2 linked regions of the Tamandua tetradactyla genome follow. The protein of the gene in region 1 interacts with the protein of each later gene in a biochemical or structural test. Links are inferred from orthologs where the notes say so. Each region holds a gene or a part of one and is shown on either strand. Other genes may lie near its edges.

What was found. The genes of interacting proteins can lie anywhere in the genome.
Region 2: of the proteins of AKT1 (region 1) and FOXO1, one has a biochemical effect on the other in vitro, tested with the Homo sapiens proteins (4 studies listed by BioGRID). The link is inferred for Tamandua tetradactyla from reciprocal best matches to the Homo sapiens genes AKT1 and FOXO1.

Annotation. Positions count from the first base shown.
Region 1 is NC_135340.1:87,905,923-87,912,956, forward strand, and holds the start of AKT1 (RAC-alpha serine/threonine-protein kinase), read left to right. Parts: upstream 1-4,022; 5' UTR 4,023-4,096; intron 4,097-6,456; 5' UTR 6,457-6,547; coding exon 6,548-6,593; intron 6,594-7,034. UniProt on the Homo sapiens protein: AKT1 is one of 3 closely related serine/threonine-protein kinases (AKT1, AKT2 and AKT3) called the AKT kinase, and which regulate many processes including metabolism, proliferation, cell survival, growth and angiogenesis.
Region 2 is NC_135330.1:99,397,837-99,405,567, forward strand, and holds the start of FOXO1 (forkhead box protein O1), read left to right. Parts: upstream 1-4,725; 5' UTR 4,726-4,868; coding exon 4,869-5,444; intron 5,445-7,731. UniProt on the Homo sapiens protein: Transcription factor that is the main target of insulin signaling and regulates metabolic homeostasis in response to oxidative stress.

The DNA.
Region 1 (7,034 bases):
GGTTTTGTCCGAGAGGCACGGGGAAAGCACCAGCCGCAGCAGACGCGGCGGGACGCGGGAAAACGCAGTGAGGGCGGGAGACCGAGGTGCCTCGAGAGCCCAGGGCGGAAGCACCAGCGTCCTGGGAGAGACAGGCGGCCCCGCGGGATTTGTTCCCCAGGGGCAGGGCGGCCGGGGTGGAAGGGGCAGCGCCAAGGCGTGGGAGGGAACACCTAGTTCTGCGGGGAGAGGAGTTTGGAGAGGCTGGGGTCCCACTGTGGGGTGTAAGGGTGCACGGCCCTCCGCGACCATTTCCCGCGGCAAGGCGTGGCGGATTCGAAGACACCAGCTAAGCGCATCCGCGGAGCTGGTTATTCGTGTCATTCCCGTTTGGGCCGGTAGGGTAGGTAAGGTGCACAGGGCCGCTGGCCTTGTGAATTGGGGCCAATCCCCCCAGTCTGATCCTGAACCCCACCCCTGGGGAGCCACATATGGAGGCCGATGGGAGTGCTTGGGTGGCCCCTGGGGCTGGTGCAGTCCCCAGGCAGGCCCTGGACTTGTGTTGAGAACAGGGCTGGAGGAGGACTTGATTTCCAAGGACAGGAGGGGGGTGGGGAGAGGAAGAGACAGGAGGAGTGCAGCCTGCAAGCACCCTTCCCTGACCCTGGAGGAAGGGGTGCCAGGAGGAGGGAGAGGGGAGGTGTGCAGGGGGCTACTCAGGGGCCTGGTACTTGGGGGTCCTGGGGCACTTGGAGGTCTTGGGGCCTGCCTAGCTAATAGATCCCACCATCTTTAGGGAGGGAAGGTCACAAACTGCAATGAAAAGTAATTTGTGGTTTATCCAAATTCAAATTCCACCAGGCACCCTGGGTTTCTGTTTGTTAAATCTGGCAGCTGCAGCTTGGGCCCCTGGAACCACTCCCTTTGCAGCCAGCTGAGGGACAGCAGAGCCCTGGTTCTGTCCGGGTGGGGAGCCCAGCTCTCCCCCTTCCATCTGAATGATTACCCCCCACCTCCACCCCACAGGAATAGCTGAGTTCCAGGAATTCTGAGCACAGGTGCCCCTGAGGTCTGCCTCTGACCCCTTCCCAGCCTGGGCTGCGACCCTTAACCCTGCCGGGCCTTAATCTCCTAATCCGTGAAACGGGAGCAAGGGTGGTCTTTGTTCAAGAGGTTCCAGAATGCCCCTCCCGGGCTCTGCTCATATGTCCCCTTGGGAGAATGACTTTTCCTTAACTCTGCAGCCGCTCTCCCCAGCCTGCGTCTCCCCACCTTCCGCTCATGGGCCTCCGCCTTCTAGTGCGTCACAGTATCTGTCAGTCCTTGCTCTTTCTTCTCTCCCCTGCCCTGCCCCCCATCTCCCTGTGGAAGGAAGGGCCTGGATTTTGTTCACTGTCGCATCCTTGGTGCTTAAAAAGTCGGCCCGGTACTAGTGGGTCTCACCAATACCTGCTGAGTGGATGTACAGTGGTGCTTTCTGTTACTGGTGTCTGTGTGTCCTGCTGCCCTCCATGGCAGCCCAGCCATCAGGAGCTGTACCCCCAGGCCCTGGGCCCTAAGAGGCTGGGAGGCCACGTTGGGGCCCCGGCTGACAACTCCTTGATGCAGCTGAAGAGGCCCTGGGGCACAGAAAAGGGACAAGGGGACCCAGGCTTGGCAGGGGTTGTGGATGTGGAGCGGAGCGGAATCGACAGGTCTGGAAGCTGCCGCAGGAGCCTGGCCATGGGCCTGGGCGGCGGGCACTCCTGGGGATGGGGGTGGGGTCTGCCTCCCAAGCCTGAAGGAAGGGCCGTCCAAGGCCACGTGGTCTGTGAACCTTGGGGGACCCCTTCTCCAGACCAGTGTGGAAGCAGTGGCAGAGCCACCAGCATGGGCCAGTGTGAGCAGAGCCTCCCTAAACGTGTCCGCAGGCCACCATCTGGCCTGGGGGCTGCCCTGAGGCCCCGCCCTGCAGCTGCTGCCAAGAATATGTAGTCCTGTCCCAGGGCAGCGGGCAGCAGCTGCGGGAGGCGACAGGGCAGGAGACCCATGCACCGCCCTCGGGATGGGGTGGGGGAGTAGGCAGCAGTTTTTGTTGAAAACACCTGGCCAAGGAGGGCTCTGGTGGTCCCAGCAATGTGGACCCTCTCCTTATGACAGTCTGGGGAGGGGCAGGGCAGAGGGGTGTCTTTGAGGAGGGGCGTCTGCCTTTTCTCTGGGAGGCCAGAAGGGATGGGTGTGAGGCTTGATGGGTACAGGGTTCAGGGAGAGCAATGAGCAAGTTGGCCAGTGAAACCAACAGTGAAACCTCTGGCCCGGATGCCATTTCCCAGGCAGGCAGGGAAGGTGGCCTGGGCAGTCACAGTCTCTGCCATGAGAGGGCGCCCTCCAGGCCCGCGAGTGGCCACTCAGCCTCCCATCCCCAGGCCCCTGTCCCCAGCCTCCCGGCTGACCCCTCAGCTTTTTTCCCCCAACCGGCAAGGATGGGGCGGTGGGGGGGGGGCATCTAGTGTACTGCAGGAGGGGACGAGGAAGAGCCTCCTTGGAACTGGAGAGCAGTGGACAGGTGCGACCAGTGAGTAAGGGATAGAAGACACAGAAGCAGGACACCCAGGCTGTGGGGGGCAAGCCTCAGGGCAGAGACGGGCCCAGCTTCTGACCTGACCTCTGACTTGACCTCTGACCTGACCTCTGACCTAGATGGCCCCTCCTGGGCCTACACAGCCGGAGCTGGGCCAGCTGTGCTGGGGAGAGGGGATGGGGGAGTGGAAGTGAGCATAGGTGTCAGATGAGACTCCAGGACCCAGAGGATGTTCCCTGCCTGCCCCAGTCCCTCCGTAGTTAGCCCCCAGAGGCAAGGCCAGAGCCCCGGAAGCTGGTCCACGGTGAGCCTCTGGCCCAGACTGCCTGCCTCACCTCACCCCCCATCCCCACCAACTGAACTCTGACCCCAGATGAAAAACAAAAATGACCCGCACCCATCCCCAAATACTTACCAACCTCATTGGGTGACTCAGCTGGAGCCCTCCTTTTACCAAAGATTATCACCAGCCCAGAGGCTCGGGGTGTGTGTGTGTGTGGGGGTGGGGGGTGTTGGTCAACTGTTGGAGAGACTTCAGCTCAGGGAGGTATTGGGGCTGGCCACTACCCTCAGTGCCCTGCAGGTAGAGGGGGCTTCACTCCCACCCTCAGAATCCCACTTGGAGTCCCTGCCTCCGGCCAGCCCCCAGTTGCCCTTCAGTGGACTTGGGATGCCTGGAGCCCCCCTGGGGCTCAGCAGGGTCCTGCACTGTCTCAGGAGTCTACTCTTGAGTCTGCTGTAGCCCCCAACCCCAAAACACCCAGGACCCCAGTCCCTCTGGCTATCTGCACCCAGCTCCGATCCAGGCACGGCCAGGAGGTGTGTGGGGGAGAATGCAGCCCCCTTCCTAAGCCCCCTTTGCTTCCAGCCCTTCTCTAGGGGACCAGGGCTCCCCTCCCAGGGCCCTTCAGTTCTAGATGAAGGGGTTCAGCCCCTGGCTGTAGGAACTGCATGCCAGCTTTGGAGGGCCCCCTCCACTTGGCCTCTGGCCCCCAGGCCCCCAGCACCCTGCCTGGAGCAGGCACAGAATGAAAGTGAGACTACTCTCTGCCTGCCTGTCCTCACAGGGTCAGAGCAGCTTTGGCATTACAAACGGGGAAACTGAGGTTGGAGAGTCTGCGGCTTGTGGCCCGGCTGTGCGGTCCCCGCGGCGGGGCCAGCCGGGTGCCCACCGGGCGCTGCCGCCCTCCCTGGGGCCGGCGGGGGCGGCGGAGGCGGATGTGGGCGGGCGGCTCCGGGAGGCGGGAGGCGGGCGGCGGGCGGCGGGAGGCGGGCGGAGGGCGGGGAGGCCGCGGCGGGAGGAGCGAGGCGGGGGCGGCCGGCCCAGCGCAGCCAGCGCAGCCCCGAGCGGCCGGAGCCGGCGGCGAGCACCGAGGCCCGGGCGGCGGCGGCGGCGGCGGCGAGGCCCGGCCCGAGGCAGCGCGCCCCCCGCCCGCCCGCCGCGGCCTCCCCGCCCGCACCGCCAAGCGCCGGGCCCGAGCGCGGCCGGGGATGCGGAGCGGCGGGCGCCGGAGGCTCCGGCCCGGCTAGGCCCGCGCTCGCTGGACGCGGCACCCGGTGAGTCCCCTCGGCGCGGGCGGGGCCCGGATGTCCCGCGCGGGCCGGGCGCTTTGTTCCCGGGCGGGCGCGGGCCGCGGCGCAGCCGGAATGGAGGCCCCGAGCAGGAAGTGGCCGAGCGGCGCCGGGCGGGAGGGCGCGGGGAGGGCGCGGGCGGCCGGGGCTGCGGGCCCCGCCGGCCTGCCTCTCCCCCGTGACCTTGGGGGGCGGCTCTGCGGGGCAGCCTGGAGCCGGGGCCGGGCGCTGCCTGGGGGCCTGGGGGGCCGTGGCACCAGCGGGACGCCTGGCCGGCAAGGCGGGTCCCGGCGGTACTGGGGCAGCGTGAGGAGAAAGCTTGGATCGAGCCCGCGTTCAAGTTTGCCAGTGGGGACGAGACCTCATTTCCCCCCAGCCCCGAAGTTGTAGCCGGTGGCCCGATGCCCAGGCTAGCCCACCAGGGATACTGCTACCCCCCATCCCCATGCCAGTTCCCTTCCCGTGGCTGGGGCCTTTCCTCCAGGGCCCCCAACTGCTTCCTGCTGTAGTGGGCTCTGGGGGTGCTGCCTACCCATCGCTGATGCTGGAGCCTGGAGGACACTGTGGCTTTGACCTAGACTGAGGGGTCCTGGGGCAGTCGATGACTCTCCCCAGCCAGAACGGTCCTGAATACTGTCCTGGTGGGCAGACGCAGGGGCCCGAAGTGGCCCCCACATTCACTCCTGGGCTCCCAGCTTGCTCCAGAAGGAGCTGCTCTTCTCTAAGGGAGCTTCGTTCCTGCCCCCCAGCTGAACACCCATTTCCACTGTGTCTCAGGGCAGAGGAAGGTGGCTGTGACAGAGCCTGGAGTGTAAGAGGAAAGCTGTGACAGCCATAATGCCCGGGAAGTTGGGGTGTTCTGCTGCCCTGCGGCTGCCTAGCTTGTACAGCTGTGCACATGCCACCCTGAGTGCACGCACAGGGGCTGGTGGGCTCTCGGCAGCTGCCCAGCTCCGTCGGTACCAGTCCTGGAGCATGTCTGCTGGAGTCCTACAGCCTGGGGCTGGGGTTGGGGGTATTGGGAGGTGAGTCCAGTCCCCTGCCTCTGGGCAGTACCCCTCAAATCTCAGCAGAGCACCCTCTGTGCTCACTGTGCTGTGACTCAGAGCACTTTTCTTGGTACCAGTGTCCTACAGTCTCACTGCCCATGGCCTGCCAAGTGTGTTGGGCCCGGCCCTCTTGGGGGTCTGGTGTTGGAGATGGGCTGTGGCCCTCCCTGCTGCTTTAGATGGGTCCCAGGGGAGAGTTTCTTCCAAGCCTGCCCTCAGGAGTGCCCATCTAGAGGGGTAGCAGAGGACTGCCCAGAGGAAGAGCATGCCAAGTGCTCTTTCCCAGAATGCCCAGAGCCGGTGACATGGAATCTGGGTTTTGAGGGATGCCTAGGAGTCCATCCAGCAGGGGAGTGGTGGAGAAGGCCACGCAAAATCCATGGCCAGCGTGTCTGCTTGAGTGAGAGCTGGCTGGTGGGCTGCCGTGGGGCAGGCGCCAGTGCTCTGCCGTTTGTACTGTGCCCCCCTCCCCTTTTGTTGCCTCTGAATGCTGTGATTATGGGTCTGTAACCATCCTGGACTGGGTGCCCCTCACTGACAGGACCAGTCTGAACCTCTGTTTGTCCTTCAGTCCCAGCACTGGACCTGGCAAAACCAGAGTTGCCTGGCACACATGGGCCGAATGAATGAACCAGATTCAGACTGGCAGGGGCTGTGGTTTAGGAGGGGCCTGGGGGTTTCCGTGGCGAGGTTTTTCACGCCGCCCTGGACAACTCTGGGCTCTCATTTGCTCCAGCTGCCTGTGCTCCCAACTCAGTCCTCTTCATGTTTGAGCTTCTCTCCTTCCCCAGTCTGGGGCTCAGGGCGGCGGTGCCCCAGCCTGGGCCGGGATTCCCAGCCTCCGGGTAGAAGCAGCCCGGGCAAGGAGAACTAACGGGCACCCGTGGCCAAGGCGTTGGGGAGGCAGGCTGGGGCAGCCTGGACGCTGGGGCTGGCAGGTTCGGGAGGCTGGGATGGGCTGGGAGGGTCCTCTGGGGACGGGGACCAGGGAAGGAGGGGATGGGCAAGGCCCACAGGGGCGTGGCTGAGGACCCGAAGTCTGGGGGTTGGGGGAGGGAAGCTAAAGGGGCTTGAAGCTCAGGCCAGGAGTGCCCAGCCCAGGGGGCAGGGGGCAGGGTCAGAGGGGAACATGAGGCTGGAGCAGGGCTTTGGGGAGAGAGAAAGTGGAGGGGAAGAGCTGGAAGGCTGTGCCGAAGCTGGGACCCTGAGGTGAGCTGGGCGCAGGATGTGGTTGCAGGGACAGAGGGGCTGGCCTGAATGCAGGACATACCCTCACCCACTCTCTGCTTCCCCCAGCGTGAGGGCAGGCCTGCTGGGCTCTGGAGACCTGGTCCTAGAAGGAGCCTGAGGGTGACGTCTGGCCACAGCGGCTGCAGAGCTGGGCACCATGAGTGACGTAGCCATCGTGAAGGAGGGCTGGCTCCACAAGCGAGGTCAGTGCATGCGGGCGCGGACGCCGCGGGGGGCTCCTGGGTCTGCAAGCCTGAGCGGAGCCACCAGGCGGGCTGCCTTCTGAGGCTTCTGGCCTGGCTGGGGTGAGCATCTAGGGCCCCACATCCCCTCGTGGCGTTGGGGTCACAGCCTCGAGGGGCGCCTGGTTTGAGGGACTGAGGGGCCAAGGCTCAGCCTACAGACTGGCCAGCAGAGAGGCCGCCTAGCTGGTGTGGGTGGGTGGGTTGGAGGAGCGGCTGCCAGCCTCCCGCCCGGCTTTCCTGGAAGGCAGCGAGGACAGTGAGGCGTTCCAAGGCCTGGCACACTGCAGCCTGGGGCACGGCCCAAGGGCTCCTGAGGGCAGGCAGGGCTGCTTGGCTTGGCCCGGTGCCTGCCTTGGGTCTGAGCTGGCGGTGGGCAGCCGCAGCAACCCTGGGACCCGG
Region 2 (7,731 bases), on another chromosome or scaffold:
TAATAACTTCAAGTGGCTGCACAAGAACCTACCTTACAGCTCTGCTCTTGTTTTACTTAACCATTCCCATTCTAATGTCTGTCATTTAGATTGTCTAAAAATACATTTTTATATTCCTGCAGGGACCCATGAGCTGTCTTTCACCAACATTCAAAGTGAAGGAATAGAGTTTATCGAAGCTGACAAACAGTGGCTGCATGCAGCAGAACCAAAAACGGATAACTGGTTTGTAACTTTCCCCCCTGTTAGGAGTAGTAGGCAGGCAGAGTCTATCTGTGATGGACAAACAATCTGATGCAGTCTCTGTAGAGTCCACTGAAAAAAATTATGTTAACATATATACAACATAGACATAAATTCCCTCTGTTGTGCCACCAACACCACCATCCCTTACCAAGCTTTTTGATCACCTCAAACAGAAACTCTGTAGCCATTAAGCAGTAATTCCCCAATCTCCACCCACCCCACCCCTCCTGTAGCCTGTTCTCTTATAGCCCACTTTTGTCCATTTGGAATAAGATCATTCCAACCGTGAAGCTCTTTTGCCAGGGCTTGATGTCCCCAAGCCTGTGGATGGTACGTTAATTTGACTTTTCCACCTTATCTCATTTCTCTCTGAAATGGTGACTATGATAATGTTTTGATCCTTTCTGCCTTAGCATTCATTCCTAATATCCATCAAACGTTTTTGTGTGTCATTCCTTCAAATAAATAATCAACATGCATTATTGATCATTAAAGAGCTCTGTATTCTTAACACCGACATCAAGGAAAACAAACCATTGTGAACCCGAGGAATTTACCACCTGAACAGCTGGCACACAGTAGTGCCCTGTAAATCTTGGTGGAATTGATGACAAAATCCAAAATCCCTCAAGAAAATGAATGCCTACTGCTGACAGTCCTGTAGCTGCCAGTAAGCCAGCTTTCAGGGTGTTGGCTTCAGGCCCCCGGGCTGTGTTTGTTCAGGTTATTGCTTTCTATAGGCCAACTGAGGCTTCTTTAGGTTCGTAACAGTATCCTCTAATAATTCAGAAAAATATAGTGGAAATGGACAAGTTCGGGAAAGGAAATGTGGAAGCTAAGTGCCATGACTGAAAAATAAGCATTCAAGCTTTTCACTTACTCATTAAATTGGACCTAAATTACTTATTTGGACAAATAAGAATCTAAACCAGAGATTGGGATGCAGTGAATGCAGAAGTTTCCATCTGGGAATTGATCAAAATGACAGATCCCTCAGCCTTGCTGCAGAGATGATGCAACAAGTCACCCTGAAAATCAGGCCCAGCAAAGGACATCACGTTTGATGCTCAAGTGAACTTTGGGAGAGTAAATTTCTGTTTCATTTTAATTGCCCTTGCATGACACCAAGTATTTCTTCCCAATTTGGCCACATGCACTAATACGTGATCATCATTGAGAAGAGCCTTCAAAGCCAACAGCAACCACAAAAAATACGGACAGAGAAAACTCTTTTGTCCTTAAACAGAATTAATGCAACTTAAATACTTCAGTCTCTTGTAGAGAGAGATAATGTTTACATTTTTCACTTAAAAAACAAAAACACCTCTTTTGTAACTTTTTTCTTTCATTATCTTACTATCATGTTTTTGTGTCTGCTTTCTTGATCTTTAAATCAAACCTGTATTCAGTTCAGTGGAGTTCATGTAGCCAAAATTACTAAGATTCTGTGGTTTAACTGGAAGGAAATATACCACAAAGTGACAATGGTTATCTCTGAATTGGAATTATAGGATATTTATACCTTTCTTCTTTATACTTTTGTGGAGTTTTCTGAATCAGCTATAATCAGCATGTGGAGTTTTCTGAATCAGCTATAATCAGCATGTGTTACTGCTATTAAGCAAAAAAAAAAAAAAAAGAAAGAAAGAAAAATAGGAATTACTTAAAAATTCCCTCACCTTGTACAGAAGTACAGGAATCTGGTGTATAGAGACGGGAAAGCAGGAAGTGGGGCTTTAGCCTCAGCACCACCGCTCTTTCATTGTGATCTATATCAATAATTCAAATAATTTAGCCTCTCTGTGCCTCGGTTTCCCTATCTATAAATGAAGGGGGACCACCAAGATGACCTCTAAGATTACTTTCAACCTTAACATTATGAGTCCATCAGAAAATAAAATTTAACTTGATACAATCCTGATGCAGGGTTACGGCATTCCTCCCAAATTTATCGGCCAGTCCTGCAATCTCACTTTGGAAGATCCGTCCTCAGCTCTCTGTGCAGAGATTCAAATTACGGTTGGACAAGAGGCTTATGGCCTGTGTGACAGCTAATGATTGGAAACAAGTTCACCAAGAAGGGCCTCAGAATATCAAAACATACCACAATAGGAGGCAGCTATAAAAAAGAATGAAACCTTTTAAGATATATTTTTATTTTTTTTGGAACTATGTTTCTGGAACATAGGTTCTTGAAGGTTCTCTGCGCCTGCTTCAAGTCAAGTTTTTCAAAAAGACCAAATGTCCTAGGACATTTAAAGAAAAAAATATTATTAGGAAAGACCGCCAAGCAGATTTCAAGGATCTGGGGAAAGTGCAGAGTCCCTCCTTCCAGGCAGGCCACAATGGCCACTGGCTTCCTCTGCAGAGAAGGATCCCCCAGGGCAGCTCTCCAGCAGGGGGGCTGAGCAGGGCTGCCCGAAGCAGGACAGGCTGCAGCTCCAGCCTGCCTGGGTTTGACCCCACTGTCTGGGTTACGAGGCCCCTAGTGACTGGTCAAACTCAATAGTGAGTATAAGAGCACAGAAGAGGAGGCCCCCACCCCATCCCCATTCCCATTCCAGCCAGCTGACCTCCGCCCACAGTCAAGATGTCCTAGTAAGTGGATCAAGAAGAAATAAAAGGGTTTGGACTACAGGGATGATAGGTGAGAATATAAAGGAAGGAATAGCGTCACTTATGCCTCTCCAAATCCTTTCAATTTCTGTAAATGCAGTGTGATTTTACAGGTCACTTTTTCAATTTAGGAATTGTCTATAAGAAAGAGGGGATTTAAAAAAACATAGCATTTTGGACAAGATATTTTTAACTCTGCTATCTTCCATTCTAAGTGAGCCCATCCCTCTAAAGGAAATGTCTTCCATATTCTTCCTAAAAAAGAAAAAGCAAAGCAAACAAACAAACAACTTGAAGAGAAAACTGTTTCTCCTACTCTCTGAGACACAGGGGCCTTTGTCTTCCTACCTGGACGTGCTGGCCCTGGAACTCAGCTGGGGAAACGTGGGCTGCGGGTTGCGGCGGCCTAAGCCAAGCCGGGTCTGGGCAGGACCGCGCCCTGCGGCGTTGGCCCGCTCTCTCCTTGTGCTCTGCTCCTGTGCACCTCAGCACCTCATTTCCATACAGAAAAGAACGTTCAAATAGCTGAATTTAATTGGGAGCCAGGAGTAAAGTAATAAGCTTCTTGCTAAATGCTCTCCTCTGACCTCTTCGCCCACCCAGAGAGAGGTTCCCACGGAGAGTAATAGGTCTAGGTGCATTTGGATCTGTTTGTGCGTGAAATTGAGCTCTCTCTGCGCGCCGAGCCCCCTTTCTCCTTTGCAGTTCTTCAGGTCAAGTTGGAGTGATCCGGGTTCGACCGAGTTGCAGTCTTTCCTCCGACACCAACGGGTGGGTTCTTGGGGCGGAGGGGGTGGGCTCTGCTCTGAGCGCGGATTAGTAGGCTCTGCCCGAGGCTCTTGGGGCGGACAGGTGGGCTCTACTCGGGGCTCTGGGCGGGGACAGGTGGGCTCTCCTTGAGGCTCTGGGGGCGGACAGGAGGGCTCTGCTCAGGGACAGGTGGGCTCTGCTCGGGGCTCTGGGCCGGGACGGATGGGCTCTGTTCGGGGCTCTGGGGGCGGACAGGTGGGCTCTACTCGGGGCTCTGGGAGGAGACAGGTGGGCTCTCCTTGAGACTCTGGGGGCAGGCAGGTGGGCTCTGCTCGGGGACAGGTGGGCTCTACTCGGTGTTCTGGGCGGCGACAGGTGGGCTCTGCTCGGGGCTCTGGGCGGGGACAGGTGGGCTCTGGTCAGGGCTCTGGGCGGGGACAGGTGGGCTCTCCTTGAGACTCTGGGGGCAGGCAGGTGGGCTCTGGGCGGGGACAGATGGGCTCTGCTCGGGGCTCTGGGCGGGGACAGGTGGGCTCTGCTCGGGGCCCTGGGCGGGGACAGGTGGGCTCTGCTCGGGGCTCTGGGCGCAGACCGTGCAGTCCCTGCGGGCCGAACGACTTGACAGATGAGCTGCGGTGGAGCTGGAGGGCCCGGCAGTGTGGCCGCCGCCGCCCCCGCCCCCGCGCCCCCCGCCAGGCTTCTCAAGTCGCAGCCGGCAGAGCGACGCCGCCGCCACGCTGGTTTGCCTCCCAGGAATCGGAAGACCGAGACGGATAGAGACGCACGGCAAGTCTCGAGAATTACCCACAAAATCGTAACAGCTCTCAAAAGCCAGAAGCCCAGAAGGGAGCGGGGGGCCGAGAAAAACACCCCGCGCCCCCGCCCGGGGGAGGTGGCCCGCCCGGGCCCCGCCCCGGCCCCGCCCCGGCCCTCGCCCAATGGCTGCCCGGGAGGCGGCGCCATGCGCCCATTGGCCGCGCGTGCTGTCAGTCGGGCCGGGCGCGCGCGCGCAGCGGGGCGGGGGCGCGGGCCCGACGCCGGGCCGCCGAGTCGCCGCATTCAACAGGCGGCAGCGGCGCGGCGGGAGCGCGGCGGAGCGGCAAGCGCCCACCTTCCTGCGCGGGCCGGGCCGCGGGCAGTGCACCGGCGCCTCGGCGGCCCCGGAGCCGCGGGCCAGGGTCTGCGTTAGGCTTCGGCCCGGCTCCTGCTCGCCGCCCCTCCTCGCTCGACCGCGGCCCGGGAGGGCGGGGGTCACCATGGCCGAAGCGCCGCCGGCGGTGGAGACCGACCCGGACTTCGAGCCGGTGCCCCGGCCGCGCTCGTGCACTTGGCCGCTGCCGCGGCCGGAGTTCGGCCAGTGCAGCTCGGCCACCTCGAGCCCCGCGCCGTCGGGCGCCGCCAACCCCGACGCCGCGTCCGGCCTGCCCGGGGCCGCGGCCAGCGCCGACTTCATGCGCGGCCTGAGCCTGTTGGAGGAGCGCGGGGACTTCCCGCGGGCGCCCGGCTCGGCGGCGGGCCCCGGGGGGCTGTGCGGGGACTTCCAGGGCGCGGAGGCGAGCTGCCTGCGCCCGGCGCCGCCGCCCCCGCCCGGGCCACTGCCGCCCCCGCCCGGGCCCCCAGCCGCTGCCGGGCCGCTCGCGGGGCAGCCGCGCAAAAGCAGCTCCTCCCGCCGCAACGCGTGGGGCAACCTGTCCTACGCCGACCTCATCACCAAGGCCATCGAGAGCTCGGCGGAAAAACGGCTCACGCTGTCTCAGATTTACGAGTGGATGGTCAAGAGCGTGCCCTACTTCAAGGACAAGGGCGACAGCAACAGCTCCGCGGGGTGGAAGGTGAGCGGCCCGGGCGCGCGGCTGAACCAGCCTGGGAGGAGCCGGCACGGGGGCAGGTCGGGCTGGGGGTGGGCGGCGGGCTTGGCCGGGCCGGGGGCGGCTCGCGGGGCCAGGGTAGGTGCGCGCGCGGGAGTTGGGGACGAGAGAGCAGGGGCTGGCCCGGGGGCAGGGGAGTGGAAAAAGTGCGCCGGGAAGCGGACGCGGGGAAGTGGTCCACTTCGCGGCGCGCCCAGGGCCCGCTCGGACTCCAGCCGCTGGCCTTTCCCTCCCGGCGTTCGGGGTGAGGGCGGCCTCCCCAGCCGCGGTTCGGGGCAGTCCCGCGGAGCAGTTTCCGCCGCGCCGGGCGGGGGTCCGGGCCAGGCGGGGTCGGTGTGGGGCCAGCGCGCGGTTTCCGGAGGCCGTGGGCATTCTGCTTTGTTTTGATTTCTCGGAGGGGCCTCTCCAAGCCCCAGGTAGCGCCTCCGCCACGTGCCGAGGGGCGGCCGCCGCCGGGGAGCGCGGCCGCGCGGGGCTAGCCGAAGTTCAAGTGTGACCCTCGGCGGGGGCGGGCGCTGGCGGCGCGAGGGCCCGGGCGCAGGAAACGAGCGGCTTTAAAGGGCCAGCGCGTCCGGCCGCGCGCGGCTAGGTGCCCGGGCAGGCGGGGCGCGGGGCCGGCCCTTCCCACCAGGGCATCGTTCCCGAAAGGGCCTGGCCCACGTCCGAGGGTTGTAATTAAGCACGGAGGGCCCCGCCGGGCGGCCAGGGTGCCCGGGGCCGGGGCCGCACTCCCTCGCCCCGGCAGGCCGCCGCTGTGGCAGCGAGCGCGGAGTCAGGATCCAGGGGCAGGGCCTGAGGGGCTTTGCGACCCGCGTCCGGGGTGGTGGAGGCTTGCGCCGCGGGAGTGCCCCCGGGGCCCTCTGGGCAGTTCCGAGCCGGGGGCTCCGGGGCGGATTTCCTGCGGGCCCGTGTGGATGGAGGCTGACGGTTTGTCGGCGTCCCAGGTGGAGGGCTTGATGTAAATAAGGCCGTCGGGCTGGGCCAGACCCCTCCTCCCTGGTGTCGGCCTCACTGGCCCGAGGACGCGCGTCTGCGGTGCGCTGCTCGCACCCAAGTTGTTTCAAAGACGCCGCCGTCCCTGTCGCTCCCGTGCGCCAGGGTCAGGGTCAGGCTGCTCGCAACGCACTGGGAAGGAGCCAGGACTTATTTTATTTTTTCCCAAGGTGTGGTTTAGAGTAAAGGTATCGCTAGTCCCAAACCCCATTGCTAAGCATTGCATGCCCTTTTACCAAGTGTTCCGATGGTAAATGCCTCCTTACCGTCGGCTCCTGTTCTGATAAATCACAAAATCGGGATCCTCTGTAAAAAAAAATCCAGCCTAACGTTTGAATTTAAGTACTTGAATTACTTGCTCACCTATTGATCCTACTTGAGCTGTTATAAAAATTTGCCAATTAAAAAACCTTTTTTCCCTGGTATTCACAGTACAGTGTGTGCTTCACCACCCACCTTGGAGGTGGATACAACCTCCTTTAGCTTGCTTGCTAGAGGGCCTTTCTTTAAAGATAGAGAAAGGCAGTGTTTTGCCTCTCTAGAGGTATTAGTTCTGGATAAATTTGGAATGTAACGTTTAAGATTTAGGTTTTTTTTTTAATCCTAAATCCGACATTTGAGGGCCATCCTGACCTCCCAACAGTTTTTATTTGTTCTTTACTGATCTTCTCATGTTGTTTTCAAATGCAATTCTAATTTTATCTTACCTTTTTTTTACTGGAGCTGGGAGCCACGTTGTGGAGCAAAGAATTCTCTCTCCAGCATGTGAAGCCCAGTGGCAGAGCCCAGAGGGAGGCTGGGGGCTTTGGGAGGTGGTGGCTGATCATTTTCAAATGAGTCAAGTTTTCAGGTGTAGCCAGAGTTGGTGCAAGTCAGATTTCTGCAAGTGATTTTCAGTTTGAGTAAAAGGGCATTTTTAAAAGAAAAAAATAACCTAAATTGTTCTAACTCTTAACTAGTCCACTGGGTTGGGTTTTCATATAAATGAGTTACTTGTTAAAACCAGGTTTCACTCTCAGATCTGAGCAACTCTGAGACTCATAAAAGGGAGAAATTTCTGTAAGAATTTTAGCTTTAAAGAAAAGAAAATCCAGTTCTAAAATGCAAGTCAACCAAAACTTTACTCTTTCAGTACTGAAGAGTGGCTCCTTTGGAACTAAATATTTCCTGTGCTTTACTGCTGGGAATTGACTGAATCTTTAATTAAGTCCCCTCTCTTGTGATCTGCTTTCTGGGCCCTGCCTGAGACGAAGATCGT